Linked DNA regions of Oryzias latipes. The protein of the gene in region 6 binds, or shares a complex with, the protein of the main gene of each other region. Links are inferred from orthologs where the notes say so. Each region holds a gene or a part of one and is shown on either strand. Other genes may lie near its edges. The genes, in order: smarcd3, dpf1, phf10, SWI/SNF-related matrix-associated actin-dependent regulator of chromatin subfamily D member 2, smarcc1, probable global transcription activator SNF2L2 and smarcd1.

Region 1 (4,087 bases), on a different chromosome or scaffold from region 6:
CTATTAGCCCATGAAAGGAAAGACGTGGTCACCGCCCGCCGCAACCCGCCCCACATCATCCCCATACCCCATGGTATAAATATTTCTCCGTCCTGCTGTACGCACACCAAGAAACCTGCCGCAACTATTATAACAAGACTTTTCCATCTCCTGCTCTGGGGGGGGGGGGGGGGGGGGGGGGGAGACGGGGGGGAGGACGGCACGAGTGAAAATAAGCAGAGGGAAATATTTGGCTTGGAGCAGCCAGAGTCTCATCAAGGTTAATTGGTCTGTTGAGAGGAGACGCTGGTCCGGCTCATCCATCACCTGCTCCATTGTTCCCCCAGAGAGGGTCTCGAACCCGCGTCGTGACCGCTCCTGTCAGAGGCACAATGCCTCAATCCAAATCCTCCACGCCGGCGTCGCAGCGCCCACGCTTTTAGACCAGGCGGCCGGGTCTTGGAGAGGAGCGTCGTCATGAAAGTTCTCCAAAACTCCTTCAGTGGGGAGGTAGGAGCTCCTTGGGGGGCAGGGGGGCATTTCCCATTTCCAAAAAGCACAAAGAAAAACTTGGGAGTTTTTTTTAATTTTTTTATTCTAAAGTGATGGGAATTTTTGATGCAGAAAAAAAAACAAAAACTAAAGTTCTACTATTATTAGATAAGATTATTATCATTTGTATTGTTTTTTTCCATTCTTCCACCATTAAATTTCATATTTTCTCCAAACAAAACCAAAAAACCTTTTCTCTTCAAACGTGATCTTCAGAAAAGAGTGACAAAAAAAGAAAAATACACTTTAAAAAGACAAAGTGCTGCAATTAAAGACCTGCTCCCATGAAAATGGTGTTTTTAACATGTTCCTGTGGGATTTTTCTGATAAATTCAACTTAAAACTGCATTTCTGAGTATTTCTGTAGCCACATTATTGTGAATCAGGAGCAGATGAAAAAATGCTGTGGAAGAAGCTTGTATTTGGTGGGCTACAAGCTAGATGCATCCACTTGTAGACGACTACATCTGTCTTTTAGCTGTAAGCCAGCAGGTAAACAGATGGATGATGGGTAATCATCCACAAACCTGCAGAAACTATGTCCTAGTAAACAAAAGACAGCGCTAAAAAGCGTTTTTGATTTGATAATCATAATTATAAGAAAGAACGCTTTGACGATAGGTTTAGAAGAACTGATTAATGTCGATCAATATAAACAAAGATTATCTTAATATAATATATATATATAAGTAATAATAATATCAGATTGTTATTGTGAGTTATCAACTTACAAATAAGTGAAATCAAAGAGTTTTTGTCTTTTAGCTGCTAAAAAAAGTCAATTTATTGTCTAGTTTCTAAATGTGTTGTTTCTAAAAGAACCTTGGAGAATCCATGGGGTCAAATTTGGTCACAGCTCATTTATTTTATTAAATTATTTGTATTTTCTTGTCTTCTATTTTTGTGGATGTATTTAATTGCCGAAGATCAAAATGAACTAACAAAACAAAAACACACACAACTGTAACAGCCCAGAAGAAAAATTGTTCTTGTGTTCTGCAGGGATAAATATTAATGGTAGAAAAATGGCTAAAACCTTTGAGGATTTCACCTTGACACAGTTTCAAGCCACAAACTTATTTGAAAAGAGTAAACCAAAGCAAAATCAGAGGGCAATTTTTCAAATAGTGATGGGAATTTTTTTAAACAAATTCTATTGTTTGCTAAAAAAAAATATTTTAATTAAGGTTTTTTACTTCTAATTTCTTCTCTAACGAAGATTTTTCACATTTATTTCAAACAAAATTTCAAAATAGTTTCTTGTTAAGCAGGATTTTCTTACTGCATGTCAACTGTGAGTTTTTATTTCCCAAATCAATTCTTGATTTATTATCATCGGACATACTAAGCTGGATGTCTTCATGCTTAAGATTCTAGGTGTGATTGCTTGAAATCATCAATCAAATCCAGAACGTGGTGTGGATGTGAGGCTCTGCGTGGAAAAACGTGGATCATTCACACAGACGCACGCGCACACACACCCTGCAGCTCCGAACCAAAACAAACCGGTCCATGTGCGCGCGCGGCCCTGGAAACGGTGAACCGGGAGCGACGCTTGACATCGCCTGCAGTCTTCACATGAATGAGCCGATTGTTCTGCATGATTTCCAGGAGTGGCTCCGTCTACAATACTACATCCGGTCGTCTCGTGACCTTACAGGTTCAAATTCATCCACCACCAACCGGCAGCTGGAAGCAGACCCCCCCCCCCCTCCCCGTTCTGACCCCCCCTCCCTCCCTCCCTCCCTCAGCCCCGTTAGCCAAAAGCTGATGCCTTTTTGCAGCTCATCCATCCATCCATCCATGCTGCTCCACTTCTCAGACCACCTCCTCCTGCCAGGCGGAGGTCCGGGGAGCTGGAAATAACCTTCACTCTACCCAGCGATCCCGCGCGCAGACCGCCGCGTGCACGCACCCTCGCGCGCGCTCTCACACATGCCGGAGCCCCGCTCGCCTCGCAGGAATGACGGACAGCGCCACTCACCACCCCATGGACCAGGAACTCAAACAGTTTGCTCTTGGTGGCTTTCCTGGCTCCCCCCGCCGTCTCCTCCGTAGCCATTTGCTCCTCGGTCCCCTCCGCTCACCCCGCTGCGTCTCCCCCTCTCCTTCTTTTGTCTCTCCCTTCAGCCAGCCTCCGGTTCCCCTCCCCTGCTCCACTTTCCTTCTCTTTGTGCTCTCCTTTTCAGCACTGCCTGTCCCCGACTCCTTCTCTCCTCCCTCCCTCCCTCTCCCGGAACGCGGAGTGGATCTGCCTCCCCCCCTTCCGAGCCGAGCCGCCTTTCAGGAGCCCCGGCACGTCGCTCGCCAGCTCGGAGGTGGGGTGTGTGGAGGGAGGGACGGAGGGGGGGGGTCTGGCAGGGGGGTTTCAGCCAGCCCACGCGGCCGCACCCCCACACAGCTGTTGCATTCCATTGGTGGATAAGGGTATGCAGCGCCGCGTGCCGTGGAGCGGGAGCTGGGGAGGGCCGGTTCCCGCTCTGCAGCTCACCACCCGGCCACCAACACACGAGCTCATTCTCAAAAAAATGAAATGAAATAAAAGGCGCCGCACTCGGAGGATGAACGTGAGGGCTTCCTGTCCACAGCACCTCCACTTCCGGTTTGCTCCTCCATCACTTCCTCCTCGCGTTTCATCGGCCTTTACCTTTCACCCACTTGTCAGGCCAGGGGCCACAGTCAGGCCAACCAACAGCAAGGTGACTGCAGGGACGTTCAACCCCCCCCCCCATCTGAAGCAGCAGGACCCCCCACCACCACCACCACCACCAGACCCCCGCCGTCAGACCGGAGCAGTAAAATATTCATGAGGTTATCTGAATGGCAAAGGGGTTGAAGTGTCTTTGAGTGGACAAAACGATTATTAATCATTATATTAATTTCTAAAAGTGTTTTTTTTTGTGTCAGTTTGTAAAAACATTTTATTTTAAAGGCATTTACTAGAAAGTTCAGGATAAACTTCAGCTCTAAAATGAATTATTTACTCCACTGACGGTTTTTTTTATTTGCCTGCTGGCGACCCCTGCTGGTAAGATGAGTAAACTGCAGCCGAGCCCCAACCTTGACTGCAAAGTCCTTTTCCGTTCCCTCGGTGTACAATTTTATGTGTTTCATTCAATTGAAAAAAAATGATCTGATGTTGTATTATATTTGCCATAAACAAATTACATTTGCATTTCCTACATCAGTTAAACTGACCCACAAACGCTCGTCTTTATTTTCTGCAAGGTCAAAGCTTTTTCGTGCAGATCTGCAGAAAGTGTCCGTCTGCTGCCTCTCCAGCGACACTGTTGGTAACAAAGACACCCGTGCAAGAAGTACCCCCTGCTAAACCCCCACCATCTACCTCACCGAGGCAAATCAGTCTCACCAAATGGTAATATATATCCCTGAGAGAAACAGACAGGAGGGGCTAGAGGGACCAGTAGTTCCACTATTGAACACGAGGGGGCGCAAACTACCTCAGGGGGCGTGTTTAAGCTCTAAAATTAAACTTAAAATATAATAATCATCCATCAAGTACAGAAATGTTTTAAAATTCCATTTTTGGGGGAAA
Region 2 (4,351 bases), on a different chromosome or scaffold from region 6:
TATGCCTGCCAATGAGTTATCGCTATATAACTCATCGATGGCTGCAGCCACAAAACAACGTTATTGCGTCCCCTAGCGGTTCAGGCACCCGGCATGACTCACCGGGGATTTTCCTACTCGAAGCCCTGGACCTCCCCCACCCTCCAATGTCAACTGACAGCTTTCATTCGTCTACTTGTCCGGACTTCACTTGGATCAGCTTGAACACGTTTGTAACACACAGAGGCCTCTCTATAGGCGGGTTCTCCGTTAGCTTAGCGGCTAACTGTTGACGGCTAACTTTACCTGCAGGTTTTCCTGTTCGTCCACCAACAGGAAACTCCGCGCGCCGCCGGGACCCTCTTCCGGCTTCATGGAAACTCTCTCAATTTCCTTCATCAGGACCTCAGACATCGCTGCTCAGGTGTTTATGTCATAATCGGGACGCGGGAGAAGAAACGAAACTTCAACATGACTTGTAATCACAACAACAGAGCGTGCGTACGGAGGGCGGGGCGAAGGAGGACGTAAACTTCGACGTCACCCCCACATTCTGTGCGATAGAGTGCTTTAGCACCACCCTGTGGTCAAAGTGTAAAAGGCAGCTTTGCCATTCATGAAATCAGCGATCACGGCATGATTTCCTCACTCAAAAAAAAAAAAAAAAAAATCTGTGAATTATTTCATGTTTCCAATACGTTTATTTTTATAAAATAAAGTTTAATTTAGGACAGTATTGATGTATTTGTTATTGTCCTTCAAAACATTCCCTTTGTTTGAAAATCTTCCTCACAAATAACACAAAAACTGTCGCAGGGCGTTTGGTTTGAGCAGTGGGGCCTTTTCGAGCTGCTTGCTAATGTTCATTAAATATTTGTTAGCACAGATCTATAAATATCACATGTCACTGGATTCAGAGTGGTGGCTCCACTACTGTGGCTCCACTGCCAAACTGTAAAGACAAATCCAGGCCTCCTTGCTCCTACCCCTCGTCCTCCTGCCTCCCTCCGTCCATCCCTGCAGCAGACGACAGGAACAGCACGAATTGGAGGGGTTCCCACTTCTCAGGCGAGGAGGCAACGACAGACAAATGTCTGAAAGAATCAATTACATGCCCACTCTCAATCTATTAATGAATAATTAAAGGTGCTCGGAGCTTTGAGACACGGCTCTGTGCATCCAACCACATCTGAAAGTTATCATGCACACTTGTTTTATGATTTTCCAGTGTTTCAGGCTGTGATGTCTACCCCCTCCTGTGCACAAGGCAAAAAATGATCCAAATGCAGTTTTGTTTGAATCCTTTAAGACTATTTTTTGTTCGAGATTCCTGTGTGGGATCAGTAGTCCCGACCTCTGTCCTCACATGTGAGGCTGATCTCCATCCCGAAGCTCCACCAGGCTCAACTGGACTTTTTTTCTATACATTAGGACAGGGACGGCTCTGCTTACCTTTCAAGTACGAGGCGGGTCGCTGAACCACTGGAACCCCCTACCCCCGCCGGTATTTGTAGTCATCATCTGTTGTCCGTCCTCCGCGCCGCCGTGCGCCAAAACTACAGTTCCCACAAGCAGCCACGGTGCGCTCCCGCCTCCCATTGGCTGTGCGCTGAAGCCGCAGCCCCAGAGAATGAATGAAATTGAAATGCTACATTACATGTAGAAAACCACCGGCTCTGCGGTGTTGCATTCTATCACACTATATCAAAATGGCCACAGCGGTGCAGAACCCCCTCAAATCGTGAGTACCGTTCATTCTCCGCTCCTAACATCCGAGCATGCTGTCAGCGTCATCTCCTTATGTTCTAATTCTGATCCTGCTCCACCACACGCTTGATGTAAACGGCGGAGACCGAGATTATGATGCCAATGAAAAGTTAGCCTATTTTGCGGGATTTCGTGTCGGTGTCCTTTTTTTTGTCACTGAGTATGCGCTGCGGTTCCTCACATCCCGTACCCGAGCCAGCAGCAGCGCGCGCGCGTATGGAGGAATGCTGGGGGAGCTCTGGGTGACCCGGCATGTCCCTTGCCGGTGTATGAACCCAAAAGATCGGTCAGATCCAGGCTGGGGGCTGAGTCGAGCTAACATGGCCCTCCAGAACCTGTTAGCGCGCGTCTTTAGAGGCAGGACGGAGCTCGGAGCGGCTTTCCGGCTGCAGCCGAACTACTGGACCTGTGGGAGATGGAGAGGCGGAGGTAAATACACTGCGTCTCCCACGCTGACTCCATCTGAATGGGATGCCGGCGCTTTGTACCCTAGAGTGAGATGATTATCAGCCGGTGGCGTGTTTAAAGCGGCCCCTTCTCCCTAAAGTTTGTCCGTTAACGGTCCGTTTTGCACATGTTTTTATTCGGAAGGAGGGGGGGGGGGGGTGTCTTTTTCTGGAGGAATGCAGCGGCGCGCGCTGATGCTCCCGGCCAAAGACAGAGGTAGCCACCGCGCGGCTGTCAGCGGGTGCTGGCACTAATCTCCCCCGCATAACGCATAAAGGCGCAGGCACCAACCCGCCGGCACCACAGCGCTCCAACTGTAGCAGTTTGAAACAAAGAAAAGTCTGGAGACCTGCGCGCCTCGGCTGCTTCACCTGAGCGCACAGACCGCGCCGGGGCGCGCACACGCCGGCGACATTTCACGCAAACCCAGATCAACGAACAGTTTGGAGCGTGGACGGAACTGCCAATTAAGAAACTGCTCTGAATGGCTGTGATGGTATTTCACCATTTGTTGTTCAAATCATGAGTGAATCGTCAGGTGGGTCATTTCCATCCACACAGTCGCTGTTATTTGACTGTTAAATGTTTATTTTGAGGCGGGCAGGTGACGTTGGGATGGAGAATCTTCAGGATGTGGCTCTCCTCTGTTTTCTCTTCTCCACTTTCAACTCTTCCTCCATTGCATGCCCAAGCTAAGCAACCGTGTGGCCAGGTTGCGCCCAGAGACTTTCAGTGAAACCATGTCGGGATTCATTTGACTGATTTGCAAGGAGTCTGCAGCAGAACTGGGAGGCAACAGGAGAAAAATGAGAGGAAAAAAGTCAGAAGGCAGCTGGGCCAGAGGATAATGAACTACATCCTAGTGTTGAAAACACAGACTGTCCAAATGAGGGATGACAAAGTGTCTGTTTGGACCTTCAGTGCAGAACCCTTAAAAAGCTGAAAGTCTGCATCAGGTTTAGAGGTCTTTCCTCTAGATGACTTTATCATGGTCTGGTTGAAGCACCAAATGAGCTCTGATATACACTCTTGAAATTAGCATGTTTGCAAACAAACTTGTTATGGAGACTTGTAAATTAGAGCCCCCATTCTGTGAATCGAGCCAAAGAACCAAAGACTTGGTTCAAAGTCAGCCCTAACAGGGGGGGCTGGCTGCGTGCCGGAGGCAGAAACAAAGCCTGTTGTGTCCCAAAATGTCTTTAAAGCTAGCTGAGTCTCAGCAGTAAATTGCAATTAATTCCGTGTTTGTTAATTCCCATTGATGCCCAGGATCCAGCCAAGCTGTGCAGCCCGCTCATGCTCGGCTGGACGTGTGTGGACGTACAGTGGAGGGTTTCATGTGTGTGCAAAAGCATATCAGCAAACCAGCTTCATCCAGTCGGCCTCTCTCTGCTGGATTAGAGAATCATTTAATCTCTCTTACTCTCTATCCTTTTTTCCTGTGATTTCCTCTCTGTCCTCCCATCACCCCCTCTGCCCAGTCTTCCTCCTCGTCTCCCTCCTTCTTTGCCACTTTCTCAATCCATCACTTGTTTCAGTCCATCCCTTTGTTTAACCATTTCCTCTTTGCCTTGCTTTCCCTTCTCCTCTGCCCATTTTCCACAGGACTTCTGCATTTTGAATCAATGGCAGCACCGTGTTTTCAAATGCAGTGCGAGCAGCAGTGAGGGGAGCTTTCTTTGCATTTGATCACATTTCCCTTCAATATTTATATATAAATATTATATATAATATAGAATTTTAGGATTGCTCAAGAGGAATTTATTTTCAGTTAAATGCAAGCCACTGAAATGGATTTGTGGAGTTGCAAATACTTATTTAGCTTAAAAGACAATGTGAACCTCCCATACTTTTGAGCGTTTGTCCTGAAATGTCGGTGTTAAAAGTGGTGAATGTGTCCTTTGGAGTCACACAGGAGACTGTTTGAGTCAAAGCTGCAGTGGATGAGGCATCTCCTTCAGCAGAGAGCTGGTTAAAGGGGGAGATGCAGATCAGTGTGTGCTGTGGTGTTGGAGGCAGTTGTGGCAGGTCCTGTCTAATGATATTTCTGCCCTGCCTGACTGAGCCCAGCTAAATGAGTTCCATGTAATAACTGGCTCTGTGTGCAAACAGCCCCATGTGACGGCTGAAGCCCCGGCCGGGGCATCCATCTCTGCAT
Region 3 (4,125 bases), on a different chromosome or scaffold from region 6:
GAACAAAATGTCACAAAAATATGTTAAAAACACACAAATAACGACTGTCTTTGAGTGGGACCTTAAAGATATTTAAATAAAAGAGTCGGGCAATTACTGTGTCATTATTATAAAGCTTTTTCTAGTGATTACAACTGAAGCAAACTTACATCTCTTTTCTATGAACTGGTGCAGAAGGCAGGATTTGCCTGTTCCAGCATTTCCAATCACTAGGAATTTAAACAGAAAGTCTGCAGAGGGAACACAGTAGTAACATAGATAAAGCAAACAGGGTTTGAATATGCTGCCTTGTTATTAATAAACTCAACTATTCTTAATTTTTTTTTGATACAGTTGTTGACATGTACACATCTGATGTCTACACTATACAAATCAAGACAAATGTGTCGTAAACAGATCGAACAAAGCCTTATATATATATATTTATTCTTTACTCCCACTAAGATAATTATCATGTTTAATGTTGGTTCAATTGATTGAACAGTTGTAGCATAGTGTAATTTGAGCAATGCCTCACAAAACACAGAGATATCCTATCATCACTTGCGTTTGCAAAAGAAAAGCGGGAGTCTCTTGCTTTGTGTCCTAGTGCTTATCCCGGGAACAATAGCATCTCCTATAGTCACAGCTTCTTGCATTATAAAGCTTTACTAATACACCTGTACCCGGAAGGCAGATTTATTAACGCTGACATTTGAGTTTAAAGGCCAAAACCTTCCTACTCCTCAGTGGCTCGGTTAGCCTGCCAGCTAGCTATTTGTTTACGAAGGGACCTCATCATCCCTTTCCTGCCATCTGTGTGTGAGATTCTAACGGGTATAAAGCAAGACAGCCTCCTTACCGTAAGACTCCGACATCCTCGGTGTGTCAGCTAAGCTGCAAGGCAGAGAAAGGCGAAACTGTTATTTGTTTAGCTTGCTAAGTGATGGAAATAGTCCTGTTGGTGATTTCCTTGGATTCTATGATTTCCTCCTCCAACTTCCTGTACGGTGTGTGTGGGTTTTTTTTCTTCAAAATAAAAGCATTCTGAAATGACACTTATGCCACATAGTCCTCAAACTACCGCGTGGGGGTGATGTTTGGATATGTTCTTATGGTTTCAATTAATGAAAAATAAATTCTCGCCGTTCTAAGTAAATTTTAAAAACAGCCCATTTCGCTGAGAGTTTTATCTATATGTAAATTAATTGGTTTGCATGTTGTGTACAAATTCTCTCTTTTTAACATATTTTTTGGAGGATCTAGGAGGTGGCGCTCTGAATTTACACAAACGTCAACCGAGTCCGTGGTTGTCCAAAGAAGAAGAAACGTAGTTTCCCCCGCTAATCATTAGCCTAGCTGTGGGCATTATTTATCTTAAAATGGCTACATTATTCCCTATTATTAGACCACCAAGTGATAGCAGTCCCGCTACTCCTGGGGCGCACTCCATGAAGGTGATTTTTTTCTACTTTGATAAATATCCATTAGCTGTTGTTTACGGGGAAACATGACGATGTTTTGCTAACAGATAGCTAGCTAGCCAACGGACGTTTCCATTCACTAGGACAACTGTCAGCCACTTTTAGCAAAATCATTTGTTTTCAAATGTGCTCAAATTACTTCCTCTTGAAGTAATTTGCTCCTATTATTCGTGTATTTCTCTATTAGTTTGCAACGTTGAAAAAATATATAAATAAAAAAAAACTAGATTGTGTAGCCATTTAAATATAAAGTGTTGCTAATTTTTTCCCTGTGTAATCCTAGTCAAACTAGTTTTGCACATGTTCCCATTTTCACAATAATACGGAGCCCCTAAAGGGCCATTGATGAAAAAAAAAAAAACTTGAGGAAATTTTTTTTTTTTGAAGTAAAAAAAAATTCTTTGAGCTAAAAATTTTTTTTTTGAAGTAAATAGGAAAAAAAACTAACTGGTGCGCACCAGTTAGTTTCAGGTGCGCACCAGTTAGTATCAGGTGCGCACCAGTTAGTTTCAGGTGCGCACCAGTTAGTATCAGAAGATATCAGATAGTTGACCTGCTTGCTCATTGTGCACCAAGTAGCTACAGTTGTCTTGAGAATGGCTAAAGTTGAGGATATGGACCTTATAAACTTTCTGAAAACACGAAATATTACTGACAATGTCATAATGTCACCTGAAACTAATTGGTGCGCAGCTGAAACTAACTGGTGGGCACCTGATACTAACTGGTGCGCACCTGAAACTAACTGGTGGGCACCTGATACTAACTGGTGCGCACCTGAAACTAACTGGTGCGCACCTGAAACTAACTGGTGCGCACCTGATACTAACTGGTGCGCACCTGATACTAACTGGTGCGCACCTGAAACTAACTGGTGCGCACCTGATACTAACTGGTGCGCACCTGATACTAACTGGTGCGCACCTGATACTAACTGGTGCGCACCTGATACTAACTGGTGCGCACCTGATACTAACTGGTGCGCACCTGATACTAACTGGTGCGCACCTGAAACTAACTGGTGCGCACCTGATACTAACTGGTGTGCACCTGAAACTAACTAACTGGTGCGCACCAGTTAGTTTCAGGTGGGCACCAGTTAGTTTTTTTTTTCCTATTTACTTCAAAAAAAATTTTTTTTACTCCAAAAGAATTTTTTTTACTCCAAGAGAATTTTTTTTTACTTCAAAAAAAAAATTTTTTCCTCCATTTTTTTTTTTTCATCAATGGCCCTTTAGGGGCTCCGTACAATAAGCTTTTCGATTCTATATATTTTGGTGTTCATCTGTTTGAAAAAAAATGTTGGTGAATCTTTTTTCCACTTCTGTAGGAAGATGTAATTGATGAGGTATCTAATGATGGGAGCCAGCCACCGAAAAGGAGGAGAATGGGTTCAGGGGACAGCTCTCGGAGCTGTGACACCTTCAGCCAAGAGCTTGGGTAGGCTACTTGTTTTTGCATTACAATTTGCCATTATTCTTAAGTAATTGCGTCAGATACCAACTTATAAATCTAATGTGTTGTTCCTGCCCCCACCTCCTCATCTAGGGTGACTTATTTCCCAGCAGAAAACCTAATAGAGTATAAATGGCCTCCTGATGATACAGGAGAATATTACATGCTGCAAGAACAAATCAGCGAGTATTTGGGTGTCACGTCATTCAAACGCAAATATCCTGGTAAGAATTGAACAATAATTCACAAAATGATCAGGAAAGGAAATGTTTAAGTGCGGTTGATTTAGCAACTGCCCAAATTATGTTTTGACCAGGGAATTTTTTTTAACATTCTTGTGCAGATATGGAGAGGAGAGACCTGTCTCACAAAGAAAAGCTCTACCTACGTGAGCAAAATGTTATCACTGAGACGCAGTGCACCCTGGGTACGAGCCAACCCTAAAACTCTTTGTTAATGCACAGACTTCATACATTTATTTATATTTCTTACATAATGTAGTGCTGTTGTATTTATATGCAGGATTGACAGCTTTGCGGAGCGATGAAGTGATCGACTTGATGATAAAGGAGTATCCAACCAAACACTCTGAGTACTCTGTGATATTGCAGGAAAAGGAGCGTCAGAGAATAGCTAAGGAGTACTCTGTAAGAACACCAGACTAGAACAACCTTTAGTTTTTATTAGAAATTGTCGAAACGCACGAACAAATAGTTGTACTCTCTTGTGCTTTTGCAGCAAATGCAGCAGCAGAACCCTCAGAAAGTGGAGGCAAGCAAGGTTCCTGAGTACATAAAGAAAGCTGCAAAAAAAGCTGCTGAGTTTAACAGCATCTTCAACAGGGAGCGAATGGAAGAGAGGAGAGCTTACTTTGACCTCCAGACTCACGTAAGTCTAATGGCAGATGGTTTAATAAATCTGCATCAGTGCAACGTTGGTTGAGCTTTTGACTGATGCAACTCCTTTTTGTCCTCTGCTTTTTGTCTCAGGTTATTCAGGTGCCCCAGGGAAGGTTCAAAGTTCTTGCTCCAGAACTAACCAGAACAGGACCCTACCCTGTTGCTCTTATCCCAGGTCAATTCCAAGATTACTATAAAAGGTACGTTCCATAACTGTTAGCTCTTCGTAAGTGACAGTAGTCTCTCAGTTAACGGTAAATAGATTTTAGATACACGATTGTGTTGTTTGTGCCAGGTACTCACCCAAT
Region 4 (4,095 bases), on a different chromosome or scaffold from region 6:
AAAAATTTGCTACCTTGGTTTGAGTGTCGCTGGAACCCAGCTTTACACTTCCTCGCTCTGGTGACATCACTGCGACTTGGCCTTCAGCGTTTTTGAACGCTGGACAGGATTCTCAAACCCATGAATTCCAATTATTGTAAAATCATTTATTTGCAAAAAATCCTAAATATAGAATCACTTTATGAATAAGATCTGGTAGGAAAGTGTTATGCTTTTCTATTGCTTTGTCTGTTTTGTATGGGGTGTTCAAGGGCAGCTGTTTATGAGTGGGTGGACTGAAAGACCTTTTTATTTTTTGTTTCATGCTACTGAAAAGTTTCATTAATTGACCCTCCCGAAGAACCAGCTGCCTTTTGTTCACAAAAGACAGTAATCTCTGCATACAGATACAAATAAACCTCAAATTTTCATATTAAATAAAATGCTGAAAAAGAAATCTTGTAAAATTCTACAAAAACATGTTTCCATAAGATGTTGCAAAAAAAACTTTGCAGAAAAAACTGTCATCTTAAATCCCTGAGGGCATTTAAGTTTTTTTATTTATTTAATTTTTTTGGTAAATGTATTTAATTATTTTCCAAGGACAAACTGATATTATACAGGGCTGATGTCAATTGTAAAAAAATATAAATAAAATACAGACTACAGTATTAAATTTCTAGTTTAATATGCCATACATATGAAAAAAAGTTATTTAGCTGGGGTCAGTATTGCTGACTTGCCCTAAGAAATGTGTTTAACACTCTCATTTAAAGAAATTCCAAATCCCTATACTAAAATTTAAAAATAATAATTTTATGCCATTGTAAAGGGGAAGAAAGCAATTCTGGCGAGAACTTTCATAAACCTTAGAGAAGACAAGTCCAAAGAGCAAGATGATTGGCCATGTTTTTTCTGAGTCGTATTCTCTTAATATCCTGTAGAGGGTGCTGTTGTGCGTACTTAAGGAAATTTGTTTTCATTCATCTCATAATATAATATAAATATAAATCCTGATTTATTTTGCCTTAGATGTATTTAAAAACTATTTAAAGTATTATTTTTGTTTAAACATGACAAATTATATGTAAATTATTACTTGAGATATGGTTTATTTGTCAGTCCGTGATATCTTTCCATCACTTTTGTTTTGTTTGCAGCTTCTTTTATGAGCATGTACTTTATAAGAATGTAATAAAAAATAAAACTTTCGATAAAAAGTTCATGAGAAAAAAAAACGAGGATACCGTGTGTAAGAGTTTGACTTTCAGATTTCAGACGGCAGTGAAGGCACCACTTAGTATTGCATGTAGGAGTGTACGACAGGACAAATTCGCGTTTTTTTTTTAATTTATTTTTATATTTAAGCGTTTAAAAGACACCGAGTTTTTTGCTAAATCGGGCGTTATTATTGTCTTAAGTGAGCCTCCCCGTTAAAATGCGGAGGGACAGTTAGTTGGACATGTTAAGGAACGCAGGCAGGGGCGGGGGTGACGAAGAACAGTCGCCGCTCCGTCCGTGTTGAGAAAACCAGCAGTTAGAGCCCGGAACTCGAGCTGTTAAAAGCCGAGCTAATGTTAGCTAGCTTTTTGTTGACAGCGTGCTTCCTGTCAGTGTAGCTAGACTTCTACCGACGCGGCGACGGTTATTTCCAACTCATTTATTTATTTATTTCTGGATTTTCAAGTGACACTCGCTTCCCTCGCTTATTATTGGGCCGTAAATCGTCGGGAGTTTTTCGCGGCACTTTCAACCACTTGTAGCTCCGGATGATGGCATCGAAAGGGGGGTTCACGGGTCCTCCGATGAATCCGAACTTGAACCCCATGAATGTCGGACACCCCACGGGGATGAGAATGCCCGGAATGCTGCAGCCCCCAACGGGTTATCCCCGAAGTATTCCCCAGTTTGCCCAGGTTTGTTTTTATGATTGCCTTCTTCTTTTTTCCCCTCCAACTATTTCTATTACAATACAAGAAAAAGCGGCCAATTCTTGTCAAAATGTCATGGTATGGAACTACTTCCGCCATTGAAAACGGTTATAAAAAATTCCCGTCATCAGTCAAATGGGTTTAACGTGTCATTGTGGCACCAGAGAACATTAATTGGGGGTAGAGGTTTTAAATATTCTGGCCTTTGTGAATAAATGTACTCTGTTGAAGTGTGAACGGGGTCACGTGGGTGCCCTTGGCCTCCTGTCAGTTAGAGAAAACAAAAGGAAGTTTATCATCACCACCATCTATCCAAAGACCACTTATACCATCCCTGTTCCAGCACCATCTGGGCTTCATTTGGACCCGATTGTATCCTACAAATTAGAACCATCAAAGTTCTGATGTATGTTTTTCTGTGAACGGTTCATAAAATGTCAAACTTACTCACTGTCCAGTCTTCAAAGCACATTTTCTTTTCATATAGGAAATAAGATTGTTTGACAGTAAAAGAACTTTGAATAAATATATTAAAGTCCCACTCGATCCTCGTTGGATCTGCTTTAAAAACCTTCCCAGTGGAGTTTTGATTATGATTATCCCAGTTTTTAGGAAATAGTTTCTGCACAGCAGCAGTGGTTCATTAGACACGTGTGTCCGAGTTGTGGGCGGAACAGTTGAGAGAGTGTAAACACCTGGATGATGGGAAATTGTGGCAGGCTTACTCCACTGGCAACAGCTCCGCCCACCAACAGTTCCTTACAACCCCAACATAATATTTTCGGTGTAACAAAATGGCGAGCAACGTCGGGGCCATCCAGACGTACAGATTTGAGCCAAATGCCTGATTCACAATGATTTGAATAAAGGAAACACTCAAAAACACCATTTTAAGCTTCATTTAATTCATGTATGTCCTCCAAGAACATGTTAAAAACATCAAACAAACATGATTTTCATTGGAATGGGTCTTCAAAGTCAAAATTGAGTTCTCAAGGACATTTGGCAATCACATACAAACTGATTATTTTCTTCCATAAAATAAGCCAACAAATTGTAAATAAAGTGGGGCAAAGCTGAAGATGCTCCATCTTCTGTATGAATTTAGTGGTAGGATTTGAAGCAGATGTTTCCTTTTGTGTCTCACATCCTTGTGTTGGAATCTTGGCCCGTTTCTCACTGCAGCTTTGCTTCAGCTTTTAAGAAATGTTACAGCTCTTGTTTCCTTGGAGTGTTTCATTTGGGTTGAGGTCCAGACTTTTGCCAGGCCGTGTCGCAACCTTAACCGTTTCCCTGTGGTGTGACCTGAAGTCAGCTCAGCTTTGGCTCGCCGACTCACGCTCTCGTGTGCTCTTGGTGTACTCTGATTACAAATGAGTTCATGGCCATCTCAATATCTGCAAGGTCTGCAGAAGCCGTGACTAAAAAACAAAGCAGAATCGAAAGGCCCTCATTGCTGTGCTTAATAGAGCGCAGGAAATGCATCTTTTTATTTGTTTAAACAAAATTCTATGAAGGTTCAATTGTAAAAGTATTTATCTTTACTCGTAAAGTTAAATTGTAGTTCAGATTGACATATTTAAAAAAGTTTGTTCCAATTATTGATGAAAACTCTTAGTTAGTAAACTATAATTATTGTGTTTTTAGTTATAAAAGTTAATAAGCCATAATTAGTCCAGTCTATTTTTATCCAACTAACATCAAACCATACAGTTAATTTTAAGAAAAGAGCCCCAATCTTCTCTTTTTATGTTTATTTTGAAGCTATTTAGGTGGGAAACAAAAATGTAAAAAAGTGTAAATGATTGCTTTAATTGTAATAAATTATCGATAAGAAAGATTTAGACATATTCAAAGTAACTTTTCTTTTGTTTAACAATGTTAAAATCCAAATCAGCTCTGAGTTAGACTGAAGGTTTGTGTTTCTACCAGAAATGGACAGAATGGATCAAACTCAATAGAGATCAGCCTCACGTGGGTCAAACGACACGACACGCCAACTGCTTTTCCCTTTTGTTCATCAAACTGTTCTTCTTTCATCCAGCGCCCTGGAATCCCACCCAGCAGGATGGGGGGTCCTATGGGGGTAATGGGGAGTCAGATGCCCGGTCCCTCTTACGGTGGGGGTAACCTTCCCATGCGGCCAGGCATGGACGCGTCAAGAAAGCGTTTTCTCCACCACCAG
Region 5 (3,598 bases), on a different chromosome or scaffold from region 6:
TGTAACACACTTTTAACCCTGCGGCTTATTCAATGATGCAGCTAATTTGTGCACTTTTTTCTAACGCCCGCTAGGGGCGCTCAAGCAGAAAAGGTAAGCGTGAGACGGGGGGATGCAAGATTAATGTAAATTCCCGCTTTGAGAATGAATAACACAAACAGATACTCACGGGGAATTCAAGAAGAACAGCAGTTGGATCTAGCTGTCAGTCATCTGAACTGTCACTCACATAACTGACTGCAATGGAAAGCTATCCAGAAACCATGCACCTTTTGACTCTGAAAAGTCTCAGGAGGAGTATATGGGCGAAGCTGAATGCATACTCTCATTTCCAGCATCAAGCAGATTTATTTAGACACACCCACAAGCAGCCAAACAGCATGAATGTCACTTCTGCTCTTTGACCCCTCAGTCACAGTGCAACAAAAAGAAACACCAATGCTCAGCCCTATTTTGGCCGCATCCCATAATCCCTTGCTGCTATTAGACCCAACAAGCACGTGACCGTCACTACAATATGACGCAGCTTTCAAGTTAAAAGCAATCGTTAAAGCAGTGTGAAAAAATCCACCATCACCAATGGGTTTAGAAAAGCCGGTCTGCTGCGTGACGGAAAGGACAGCGCAAGCTCAGGAGTGAATTTGCCTCAGGATAAGAGTGACACTGACAGCGACAACGAAGGAGACACTGAGAGAAGAATATCGAAGAATATCTGTGGCTATTCCAATCCAACACTGAGGAGGAAGACTGCCATGGTTTCAGTGCACAGGACAAAGATGAAGAAAGCTCTCAATGACTTTTACGTTCATGTTTTTTAAACCAGCCCTGTTACTACCATATTGCTGCTGTTCCGAAAGAAAAGCTTAGGTATACCATTAAAACTTTGAAAACTCTTTCTGTGTACCGTCTTTCTTTGTAAATATATCATGTGTTGAACCTTTCCTGCGATTACTTTTTTTTCTTTCTTTCTTCTCCGCCAAAGGTTGTTCACTTCCCCGTTAGGACCCTCAGAGCCTCCAGAGTGGGTTAATAAAGAATCATTCATCTTCTTCTGGGGGAAACCTTCATTTATCACCCCCAACACACTTGCTCTCACTCGGTGCATGCGCGCTCTCTCTTCCTTCCGCTGCACGCACTCCCTCCTCCTTCTCACACACGTGTGCGCGGTTTCAGCACATTCACATCCTCAATCTACAACACAGAGTGGTGACCCGGGGGTTAGCTCGCCTTCAGCCTCTTAGACTCATGGGAAGTGGGGAATCGTGGGTGGAAAGTTCCTCAACCATGACTGAGGGGGCTGTGAACAGAAGTGAGATCCATGCTGTTTGGCTGTTAGTGAGTGTGTTCAAATAAATCGGCTACAATGCCGGAAAGGACAATATGAAATCTGCGTTTGCAGCTCCCTTTCTGACACTGTACGACACGTGCAGAACAAAGACTACAACATGTTTATACGGGCGCATGCGCCTGATATACAGGTGCGGCTTGTGTGTGTGTGTGTATAAAACAGCTAACTGTTTGAAAATGTAAAGGGTGCAGCTTGTAATCTGGTCCGCTCTATCGCCCGGAATTTATGTTACATGTCTATTCTCATGTTTGCCTGAGAGAAGTGTCTAAAATGTATTGGGGAGTTTTACAGCCTGAAAACTAGAATCCTACTTGGTGGATTTCACCAGTTGCAGGTTATTAATGGAACGTATCCCCGGCCATAAATGAGGGACCACTGTACCTGGAAAGATCGTGTGTTGTTGCAGTGTGACATGTTGACTGTTGTTGTGATTCACTGCTCCTTCTTTGCAGTTGGAGCTTCAGCGGCAGCAGCTCCTCACAGAGCGACAGGCGTTCCACATGGAGCAGCTCAAGTACGCAGAGATGAAGGCACGCCAGCAGATGGAGCAGCAAGCTGCCGCTGCAGCCGCCGCCGCTGCTCAGGCCCAAGGGCAGGGACAACCCCCCGGTCCCGGACATCACCACGGGCCCCAGGGTCCTGGACCCCATTCTGGACCCCCTCCACCAGGCATGCACCCTGGAGGGCCTCCACCCCACCACGGAGCGCCTCCACCTCACCACGGAGCACCTCCACCCCATCTTGGAGGTCCTCCTGCTGCTGCAGCAATGCACCCTGGTTACCCGCCCATGGCTCACCACCCCATGGCCCCCCACCACCCTGGACCGACGGGTAAAGACAATGGTTTTCGGAAGAATCATCGAATTTCATTTTAGCTTTCTTCTTGTTCATAATGTGGCATTCCAATAAAGTGGCCTCGTCTTTTCCTCATTGTAGGACCGATGGGACCAGGTCAGCCAATGCCTGGGCGTATGATGTCCGGGCCACCGTCTGCCGGACCCCCTCCTGGGGGAATGCCTCCCATGATGCCTCCCCGTCACCCGGGAGCTCCCAACGGCATGTGTGAGTACCAAAGTCTTCTTCTATGTTTACATTGTTTTTCTAATTTCAAAAGGTATCGCCTTTTTTTTTCAGACTATTAGGTAAACATAGTTTTCTTTGTTTTTGGTGACAAACTCATCTGAACCTCTTTCCTGAGGGGAGGTGTCTTTAAAGCAAAAACCACAAAGCAAACCTGTTCAGGGAATTCACATCCGTCTGACTCGAAGCAGACAGCTGGTATTTACTCCAAATGTCAGCTAAACGCTGTTGTTTATTATTTTTGCACCAATGTGGTCAAACTTTTCATGTAGCAGGAAGTCGTGTTTCTGACAGCTGGGGTGCTGGTTTGGCTCCAGCTTTCATTCCAGAAATGTCTTAACTGATTCAGAAAAAAATGCCATCAACACATCATCCAGTGCTCCCAGTTATGATCAAGTTTGTTTACGTCAGGCTAGCTGACTGAGGTTAACCCAGGCGTGGGCAAACTGTGGCCCGCCCAGCTGAAATAAATTATACAGTTTATTAATGCCAATGTTTTATTTTCTGGTATCCCTATAGATGGTACACTACAAATAAATTGACCTTTGTTTTAGGTGCAGAAAGTTATTCTGCATTCATGTCGTGGTGGAAGATTTGGGGTTTTTGTTTTGTTCGTGTGTCATTTTTGTAATTCCAGTGGATTCCGATCAGAGAAAAGCAGATTTGTGCTGGAATGCTACACTTCGTATTGGTTAACATTTACGTCTACCAAGTATAAAGTTTACATTGATAGTGTCGACACTTCACTGCTGTACAATGTTGAGTTTTGGCTCAAAGCTTCAGCTTCAGAATCTTTTGGAATTACGTCAACTGTATAGAGTTACGGTAAATCAGAGAACAGCAACACTGTAGGTCAAGCTCTGGTGTTGAAGGTTACCTGAACTATTCCCTTGGATATAGGCATTGGCTAATGAATAAAAATGATTCTTTTAAGCGTTAAACGCTGGAGATGTCGCCAGCGTCACCTAAATAAACACACGCTCTTTAAACTGTAACTTCTTTGTAACCCTAACCGCATCTCTTCAACCATTTTAACGGATTCTGGTACGAAGAAAAGCAAATTTGCAAATTGGCTTCGCCAAGTCATGCCTGGCGTGGCATTTTATTTGATCACAGGTTAAGCACTTTACGTTAATTAAAGTCCGACACTGTGTTGGTAGAGTCTTCCAT
Region 6 (3,598 bases):
GCCAGACGCTCAAATCTGCAGGACCCATGAAGGAGGAACACGGGCTCCTAATGTATGTTATAAAGTCTGCCACGGTACAGGCTACTGATCTGGAAAAAAAACTCTTCATGTTGAGCAATACTCCAATGTTCTTCAGTAAATGTTTGACAAAGCATCAGAAATGTTCCAGAAGGGTTTGGATGAGGAAGGATCGGTGACGGACATCCTTCACCCGCGGGGCTGGAGGTGGTTCTCAGAATTCTGCGGATTCGTGGCTGTCTCTGGTCCCTGACCCCCACCAATATGGGGGGAGTACTGGCTCCACAAACGGTTATTTGTTCTGAATGTGTTGTTAGGCTGAGACTGTCCGCCTGCTGTTGAAGAACCATCAGTTTAGTTCAAACAATAGTTTTTCCCAAATCAGTCAAGTCGTTTAGAGTTTTGTGAAATGACGCCTCTGTTACTCAAAGTCATGCGTGAGTTTTTTTTCCAACACGTCACATTCCAGATGTGTAAAAGTGTAAAGCTGTAAAACCTGCTAAAAATGTCCAGATGTTGCAGCTGACAATCCCACCGTGTTTGGCTGACTCTGTCTGAGTGATTTATGTCTAGTTTGATTTTCAAATCACAGCCTGAAGAAGGTTTACTGATCGTGTCAAACGTTTGGGTCTAAATGAATGAATGATTTTAGCATAATTTACCCAAAATGTTTGTGTTTTGATCCACAATCAAAGAAAAGGGATTTCATCTTCCACAAATGTCTATAAAGGAAACATTTTTCCGGAAGAGCTTTGATCTTCTAACTCAACGTTCCCTATATGGCTACCAAGTCTTTAATATTGTATAATAACTGGGAATGTTTTCCTTTCCAGCCCATGGAGGCCATGACTGACAAGTCAATGACAGAAGCCATGCATTTTGGGCACATGAAGGGTGTGGGGATGAGATCGCTCCACAGCGGGATGGGTCCTCCTCAGAGCCCCATGGACCAGCACAGCCAAGGTAACGGGTCTGAACCGGACGCACCATGAGTCCCATCCATCCACCATGCTCCAACGTGTCACCATTCTCTTCAAGGTTACATGTCTCCACATCCTTCCCCCATGGGAGTCCACGAGCACGCCTCCAGCCCCATGCCAGGAGGTGGAGGTGGAGGTGGACCCACGCCGCCGCACATCCCTCCCTCCCAGTCAGGTCCCATGATGCCCATGGAAGGAGGCATGGCCGGCATGGGCCAGCAGGGCCGCGGACCCTCTGCCTTCAGCCCGGTCCAGCTGCAGCAGCTCAGAGCTCAGATTCTGGCCTACAAGATTCTGGCCCGCGGACAGCCGCTGCCCGAAAACCTCCAGCTGGCCGTTCAAGGCAAAAGGAGCCTACCCACAATGCAACAGCAGCCACCGCAGCAGCCACCGCAGCAGCAGCAGCAGCAGGCGTCGAGTGTGAGCCCCTACAGACCTTCAGGTGAGGATGAGGAAACAAAGGTCAAACAAAAACAATGTAAAGACACCATCGTTAAAAAACAGGCATAAAAAGGAAAACTTACCAAGAAAAAGCCTGAACTGAAAGAGGGAACATACAGTGGAGGTATGGGGGGGCGGGGCTGTGGAACACCTTGTAGGTAAAAAGCAGGACGTTTCCCACCTCCATGAGCACAGTTCTGGGGTTTACAGCTGTAGAGAAGGTGTGGAGGGACTCCTGTGGAACGATCCCGGAGCGCTGGCAGGTCCTCCTGGTGACGAGGTGGAAATCCCACGGAGCTAAAACTGGAGCTCAAAACCTTTTACTGTGATTTGGTTTGTCCAGGTTTAAAAAAGTTCAAACGTTAAAGATGTCATCATGAAGAGCAGCAGCAGAATCTGAAGGAAAAAACCATCATTTATGGCAGGAGTTCTGTTCTAAACCCGCAAAAGATTTGAGGCAGTAAAACGTCTCACAACAGACGTTCTACACTTTTCCCAGACAGACACCAACATTTTCACACTTTTGTTTTAAAACTTTTATAGAAAAATACGTCCAGGATAATAGAATGAAAGCAAAGCTCTGATCCCAGTCAAAGATTTATGTTTGGTAAACTGAACATATTTCACGGCGCAGAGAAGCTTGATTGACAGCCCAGAACGCAGTGCGCTGTTAAAAACACAACAACAAAAACAGAATTGCTCTGAAAAAAGCAGAGAAACGGCAAAAAGTGAACCACAATATCACGAGGGAACTCTGTAATGTTTGCAGTCATCTTTTGGGTTTTACATCCAAACTAATGTGACGGGGATAAAAAGTCTGCACATTCATAATTCTGATTATCAGTTTATTATTTATAGGATCCCCGTTAGCTGTGCTGAGGAGGCAGCTGCTCTTCCTCATAAAAATCCCCAATGCTATTTAATGTGAATCCCAAAAATACACGATGTAAACACGTAAAATTCACATTTTAAATATCATAAATAGAGTTCCTGGACCCTGAACCGTTGTGCTTTAAATCAGTCACACCATCAAAATCTGGATCTGAAAATATGCGGCTCCAAAATGTGACCTCAGTATTTTCATGGAAAAACCAAACTCATCCAACATCTGCTTCTTCCAAAGGGATGCCAATGGCGCAGATGGGCGGCCCCCAGGCCAGCCCCTGCCCGGCGCCTGCCATGCAGGGAGCCAATCAGAGTGCAGCCAAGCCGTGGAGTGATGGTGAGTCTGCTTCCTGCCGGCCTCGGGTCTTAGCGGTGAAACATCTTCTGGCTAAGCAGGCTCAGAAAAGTTGAAGGTCTTTGTTTGACAGGTGGAGAAAATCAGGCCCACGTGCAGAAACACCTCACCCCCGTCTCCAGCGGGCGTCCCTCTCCCGCGCCGCCGCAGACCTCCGCTGTGCCTCCGGGGCCGGCACTGAGCGGCTCGGCAGCTGGACTCCCACCGGGCCAGCAGGTGTCTCCCATGCTGCAGATGCAGCAGAAGCAGAACCGCATCACTCCCATACAGAAGCCCCAGGGCTTGGACCCGATGGGGATCCTGCAGGAGAGGGAGTTCAGGTATGGATGCGCTCGCACACCTCCATGATGCTTCCTCAGTGTTTACAGTGGAGGTTGGTGACCATTTCCTCCAGGAACTCATTAAGTGTCATGCAAAGTGCATTCATGTCAAACGTTCTCAGTTTTCTGAGGTTGGGAGCGTTACTATGGAGGCTGTTTGATCCGTTTTCTCATTAAAGACGTGTGACGCGTGAGGCGCTTTATGTTGTTCATCAGACTCAAAGCTTTAGCTTCTTTTTCATGTCATAGTCACCATTTCAGCATTTCAGACTGGCTTTACTGTTTGACTTATTGTGTTTTAGTATCATTAGGGTTATTTTACCACATCTGTCTTTATACTGTTCTTCAGGCTGCAGGCTCGCATCGCCCACCGAATCCAGGAGCTGGAGAGTCTACCGGGGTCTCTGCCTCCTGACCTGAGGACCAAAGCCACTGTGGAGCTCAAAGCGCTCCGTCTGCTCAACTTTCAGCGGCAGGTACGGCAAATATGTACCAAATATTTGCTATGGATGTTAACGTAAAGCAGAATGTCAAATCATCAGAAGCCGGCTGACGCTGAAACAGTGAAACTATCAAACAGGCTGACGCTGAAACAGTGT
Region 7 (4,200 bases), on a different chromosome or scaffold from region 6:
AGTCTTCATGGGAGGCGAGCTTCTAACAAAAAGGCTTCATCCATAAATAGATTTATTTGATTTGCTAAATAATTACAAGCTGTCATAAGATTGTTTTAGCACATTTAAAGTAACAATTTATTGCGATTTTCGCTGTCTTTTGCTATATGCGGATTGCACAGCTTGATATCGCGATAACGAGAAATTTGCCATTTATCGTGAAGGCCTAGATGGAACAGTCAACAGTATCCTTTAGTGGGATTGGTCTTTAAATCACAAAAATAAACAACTGTAGCCAAATCACTGCCTTAGTGAAAAACATTTTTTCATCGAAAGTCTTTTAGATAAACAGACTTCAACATAAACCCACTAGGGTTCAATCCAAATTCTTCCCCTACCCCTCCAGCTTCTCTCTTTCCCTCCAATTGTAGGGGCATTTGGGGGTAGGGGTGTTAGTTTTTGGAATGGAAAACCTTCACTGCGCGGAGGGATACGGAGCCCTCCAACGCAAAGGTGTTCCGCATGTTCTGTGCCGCAAAAGAGAAACGTATCTCTGCAAGTGGGTGTGCCTTGAAGCACAGAAGTTTACACGTAAATGTAAGTAAATACTTTTTGTTTTAGCATGGCTTTTTAATGTTCTAAAACCCACGTTATTTACTTCTGATCGCCACCCGCTAACGTGGCTGACCGACGACGATTGATGACCTCATCGAGTCAGAGTGACGTCTAAATGACTATTTTTATATGACACTCCATTTGGAGGGCTAACTGTAGGTGTAGGGAGAAGTAGAAGTGGGGGAAGAACTTGGATTTGGTCTAGGTATTGTAAATATGAAGTCTGAACATCTAGGACACTTTTAAAACCCTAAAAGAACTGCAGAAATGTAAACTCTTTCTCTTAGTCTGTTTCAACACAACAAACATCTTTAGCATTAATGTTAAACTTCTTGAAAACGGTGACAAAGGTTGCTGCGTACACTACTCCACACTAAAATTTGAATCACCAAACTAGCTAGCTGTACTTCCACGTTCCATTTTAATTTATGTTAGCCCGCCACTAACAGCTCACTTCCCTCATCATTTTTCACTGCCATGTTACTTTCCCCTCAAGTTCCACAATTTGTTTCCACCAAAACATCCCCGCCTAATAGAACTGGACTAAGTGACCCCCCACCCCCACCCCGGATGTCAAATAGGAAGTACCTGCTCGAACGTGTGTAAACCCCGCCTCTAATGATTGAAATGTTTAATTGACAGACTCTCCTGAGCCTGCTTTCAGTGGCAGAGATGTGGACTAAGATAAAAGCTTAATCCTGATTGGCGACAGGAGTTGCCATAGAAGCGTCGACTCCTACAGACGCAGGCTCATCACCGTTTACTTAGGTGGTCTGGCTCCAACATGGGGATGAGTGTACTGCAGATCTAACAGCGACTGATGGATTCATTTTGCTGGAGCTGAAAGTAAGGCGTTTTTTTTTTCTTTCTACGGGTGACGTCAGACTCGCTCAGTCCAGTTCTCTTATACAGACAATGACATCACCACCCACCTTTCCATCAATTAAGAATCAAACGATCTTGATAGATTTATAAATAAGATACTTCTCCATTCCCTGCTAGTTTATAAAAATAAAACATTTTTTGAAGTTTTTCAAGGTTAAGATCTTCAATTTCTAAAAATATTTATCATGCCCTCAAGTAAATTCTGAGTTTACCTCATTTGTAATTGGTTAAAAGTATGAAGACTCCTCTCAAAATTGGGTGCATGTCTTTATTTTAAAAAAATTAATTCAGGTTGGTAGGTAGGTGGGTGGACTTTTAAGTTTACCATGCCCCCCCCCCCCCCCCCTTTTTAAGTTTAACAACTGCAATGTATGAGTAAACTATGTTGCGTGTACTTTAATAGCAAAACATTACCAAGCGTTGTATTATTAACAAGTAGAAGTTCTCGACGGCGGAGTTACACCTAAAACCTGACCAAAAACTCAATGGTTCCGTTAAGTAGAAGTCAAATCAAATGCCAATTTTTAAACGTCAGCAAAGAGAGACGCGACAAATACAAGCGGGTTTTCGGAAATTACCTTTCAGCAAATTTGAATTTAGACTCACATGACGGTAGCAGCCAGATGTTTTCGCAGAGTACGGTTCCTGAGAGGCGGACTTTTTACTTTCAGATTTCCCAGAGGAAATCAATGGATCCCGTCAAAACGAGACGTATTCATAAAAGTTGATAGATTTAATCAATCTGTATATGCCAGTTAACTCCACACAATCAGTAACTAGAGAACTACGACGAGCGTAACACAGTAACTAGTTACTAGTTAGCGTTAGCAGGCGAGGTAGCACAGTTTCATGTAAGCTAACCTTCTGTTAGCGAGCGGGAGGTTTAGCAAATTCAAACATGATAAACTCATAAAAGTCCGCCAGAGCGCTCGAAAAAAATATTTATTAAAAGTCGATTACTTTTAATGGGTTTCTTAAGTTCTATTGAACTGGGCCTGTAGGGGGACGGGGGTTAATGTTAGCCATTGGCGACAAAGCAGCGATGAGTGGCTTTGTTCTACTAGCGGACCGGCTAGCATTGACGCAAAGATGGAGTGATAACTCACCGGGTACCCAGGCCCAGGCATTGGAGATCGGTACATGTGGTTCTGACCAGCCGAAGATGGACCCATTCTTCCAGTGGGAGTCCCGGGTCCCATGCCTGGTCCAGCACCGGGTACAGGTTGTCCAGGTCCAACAGCTCCACCACCACCAGTCGGTGCAGACTGAAACCCCCCTCTGGACGCCATCTCCTCACTAGATGTCGCCTCCGGTGGAGCAAAGGAACTAACGCGAGAGCAACTGAGGCGTTCACTTTGCGATAGCGCCCTCTACTGTTCTCTTTTGACACTGCACGATTGCCCACATTAAGAGACAAAGGATAATTGTGGGGTATGAAGGCGTAATATAGGCTATTTCTTAAAAAAAACATTTAGTATGTTCCTTTATAATATTTTAGTATTTTTCGTGAAGTTTTTTTGTTTTGTTTTTCGTGCTATTTTTTTTAAATACAAGAGCAAAAAACAACAAACAGGCTGGGCAGCTACTCATGAAAACTACAAGAAAAACTATAAAAGTATAGTTCATGTAGTTTAAAATATGTATTAATATATATCAATATATACATGTATATGTATTAATATTATTCATATATAGTTTAAAATATATATTAAAAACACGAAAAAATCTGTCTGGTCTGTAGAAAATAAAACAATTAAAATAAAAAAAGAAAGAACATTTTAATTAGCTGGAGTAATACAGTCCTGACAAGTCCTAACAACCAGCATTCAATTTACATGATTATATGCACAAGAATAAAGTCAACGGGTAGGCCAACCATATTGGAGTAATTTAGGACGCTATTAAATTGTCTTCTTTCTTTTCATGTGAATTCACTAATCTGTTCTATTGCCTTCTATATGTCTTTCATTTATCAAAACAGAATACATTGTTTTTCAATTTTCTCTTATCGAACAAAATAAAACTTAGAGCAAAACAAAATGCCCCAAAACATTATTAACTTTTAAAGAACACATTTAAAAATAAAAGTTTTCATTTTAATTTAGGCTACAGTACAAAATCAATTGGTTCAACAGTGGATTGCTGATATTTTTCATTTTTCATAATATATGACTGTTTTGCAAATGAGAAAATCATTTGATTTTTATTAATGTAACTATTCATATTTTTGTATCATATCCTTTAAAAAAACAATCATGTATGTTTTTAACTAACTTCTATTTGTGTACATATTTGCAGGTTATTTCTGAATGTTTTTAGAAGGTTTTATAAAATAGAAATCTTGATGATGACGTTTTCAGCTACAGGATTGTTTCTTTCCATCATTTTGCTAAGTAACATGTGACACTTTTTGTCTCTACAAGTCCAGAACTTGACTATGTTGAGATAAACACAATATCTGGAGTAGAAAATATTTTCTTTTCAACAACACAACACCTGGTATTTTGTGATGCCTGTTTGTTTGGGCTTTCTGTTTTCTGCTAGTATATACGAGAATCAGAGTAAACCTAATTTCATGGGTCTTTACTTCTTTTGTACTGCAGAAAGAAAAATGACATCAAACAACCTTGTGTAAGGACAACACAAAAAACGATGTGCATTTTTGCTTTTGGGTGAAGTTGTGGAATAACATGGAGGAATGATTAAGAATATTACACAATT

Evidence for each region.
Region 1: probable global transcription activator SNF2L2 (region 6) and smarcd3 share a complex: the UniProt entries of both Homo sapiens proteins name them as parts of the BAF complex. The link is inferred for Oryzias latipes from reciprocal best matches to the Homo sapiens genes SMARCA2 and SMARCD3.
Region 2: probable global transcription activator SNF2L2 (region 6) and dpf1 share a complex: the UniProt entries of both Homo sapiens proteins name them as parts of the neuron-specific chromatin remodeling complex. The link is inferred for Oryzias latipes from reciprocal best matches to the Homo sapiens genes SMARCA2 and DPF1.
Region 3: probable global transcription activator SNF2L2 (region 6) and phf10 share a complex: the UniProt entries of both Homo sapiens proteins name them as parts of the neural progenitors-specific chromatin remodeling complex. The link is inferred for Oryzias latipes from reciprocal best matches to the Homo sapiens genes SMARCA2 and PHF10.
Region 4: probable global transcription activator SNF2L2 (region 6) and SWI/SNF-related matrix-associated actin-dependent regulator of chromatin subfamily D member 2 share a complex: the UniProt entries of both Homo sapiens proteins name them as parts of the BAF complex. The link is inferred for Oryzias latipes from reciprocal best matches to the Homo sapiens genes SMARCA2 and SMARCD2.
Region 5: probable global transcription activator SNF2L2 (region 6) and smarcc1 share a complex: the UniProt entries of both Homo sapiens proteins name them as parts of the BAF complex. The link is inferred for Oryzias latipes from reciprocal best matches to the Homo sapiens genes SMARCA2 and SMARCC1.
Region 7: probable global transcription activator SNF2L2 (region 6) and smarcd1 share a complex: the UniProt entries of both Homo sapiens proteins name them as parts of the BAF complex. The link is inferred for Oryzias latipes from reciprocal best matches to the Homo sapiens genes SMARCA2 and SMARCD1.

The regions. Positions count from the first base shown.
Region 1 is NC_019878.2:21,156,930-21,161,016, reverse strand, and holds the start of smarcd3 (SWI/SNF-related matrix-associated actin-dependent regulator of chromatin subfamily D member 3), read right to left. Parts: upstream 2,877-4,087; 5' UTR 2,594-2,876; coding exon 2,516-2,593; intron 1-2,515. UniProt on the Homo sapiens protein: Involved in transcriptional activation and repression of select genes by chromatin remodeling (alteration of DNA-nucleosome topology).
Region 2 is NC_019871.2:18,133,544-18,137,894, forward strand, and holds the start of dpf1 (zinc finger protein neuro-d4), read left to right. Parts: upstream 1-1,506; 5' UTR 1,507-1,613; coding exon 1,614-1,720; intron 1,721-4,351. UniProt on the Homo sapiens protein: May have an important role in developing neurons by participating in regulation of cell survival, possibly as a neurospecific transcription factor. Belongs to the neuron-specific chromatin remodeling complex (nBAF complex).
Region 3 is NC_019861.2:24,495,893-24,500,017, reverse strand, and holds the start of phf10 (PHD finger protein 10), read left to right. Parts: upstream 1-1,266; 5' UTR 1,267-1,361; coding exon 1,362-1,436; intron 1,437-2,793; coding exon 2,794-2,903; intron 2,904-3,011; coding exon 3,012-3,142; intron 3,143-3,261; coding exon 3,262-3,345; intron 3,346-3,440; coding exon 3,441-3,565; intron 3,566-3,656; coding exon 3,657-3,806; intron 3,807-3,907; coding exon 3,908-4,017; intron 4,018-4,112; coding exon 4,113-4,125. Other genes in the region: rab4a (ras-related protein Rab-4A), read right to left, coding at 150-230, 842-857. UniProt on the Homo sapiens protein: Involved in transcription activity regulation by chromatin remodeling. Belongs to the neural progenitors-specific chromatin remodeling complex (npBAF complex) and is required for the proliferation of neural progenitors.
Region 4 is NC_019877.2:6,918,568-6,922,662, reverse strand, and holds the start of SWI/SNF-related matrix-associated actin-dependent regulator of chromatin subfamily D member 2, read left to right. Parts: upstream 1-1,281; 5' UTR 1,282-1,748; coding exon 1,749-1,895; intron 1,896-3,954; coding exon 3,955-4,095. UniProt on the Homo sapiens protein: Involved in transcriptional activation and repression of select genes by chromatin remodeling (alteration of DNA-nucleosome topology).
Region 5 is NC_019874.2:27,730,684-27,734,281, reverse strand, and holds part of smarcc1 (SWI/SNF complex subunit SMARCC1), read left to right. Parts: intron 1-1,800; coding exon 1,801-2,179; intron 2,180-2,284; coding exon 2,285-2,410; intron 2,411-3,598. UniProt on the Homo sapiens protein: Involved in transcriptional activation and repression of select genes by chromatin remodeling (alteration of DNA-nucleosome topology).
Region 6 is NC_019867.2:1,061,501-1,065,098, reverse strand, and holds part of probable global transcription activator SNF2L2, read left to right. Parts: intron 1-851; coding exon 852-981; intron 982-1,056; coding exon 1,057-1,440; intron 1,441-2,562; coding exon 2,563-2,661; intron 2,662-2,752; coding exon 2,753-2,999; intron 3,000-3,348; coding exon 3,349-3,475; intron 3,476-3,598. UniProt on the Homo sapiens protein: ATPase involved in transcriptional activation and repression of select genes by chromatin remodeling (alteration of DNA-nucleosome topology).
Region 7 is NC_019863.2:13,904,108-13,908,307, forward strand, and holds the start of smarcd1 (SWI/SNF-related matrix-associated actin-dependent regulator of chromatin subfamily D member 1), read right to left. Parts: upstream 2,805-4,200; 5' UTR 2,769-2,804; coding exon 2,586-2,768; intron 1-2,585. UniProt on the Homo sapiens protein: Involved in transcriptional activation and repression of select genes by chromatin remodeling (alteration of DNA-nucleosome topology).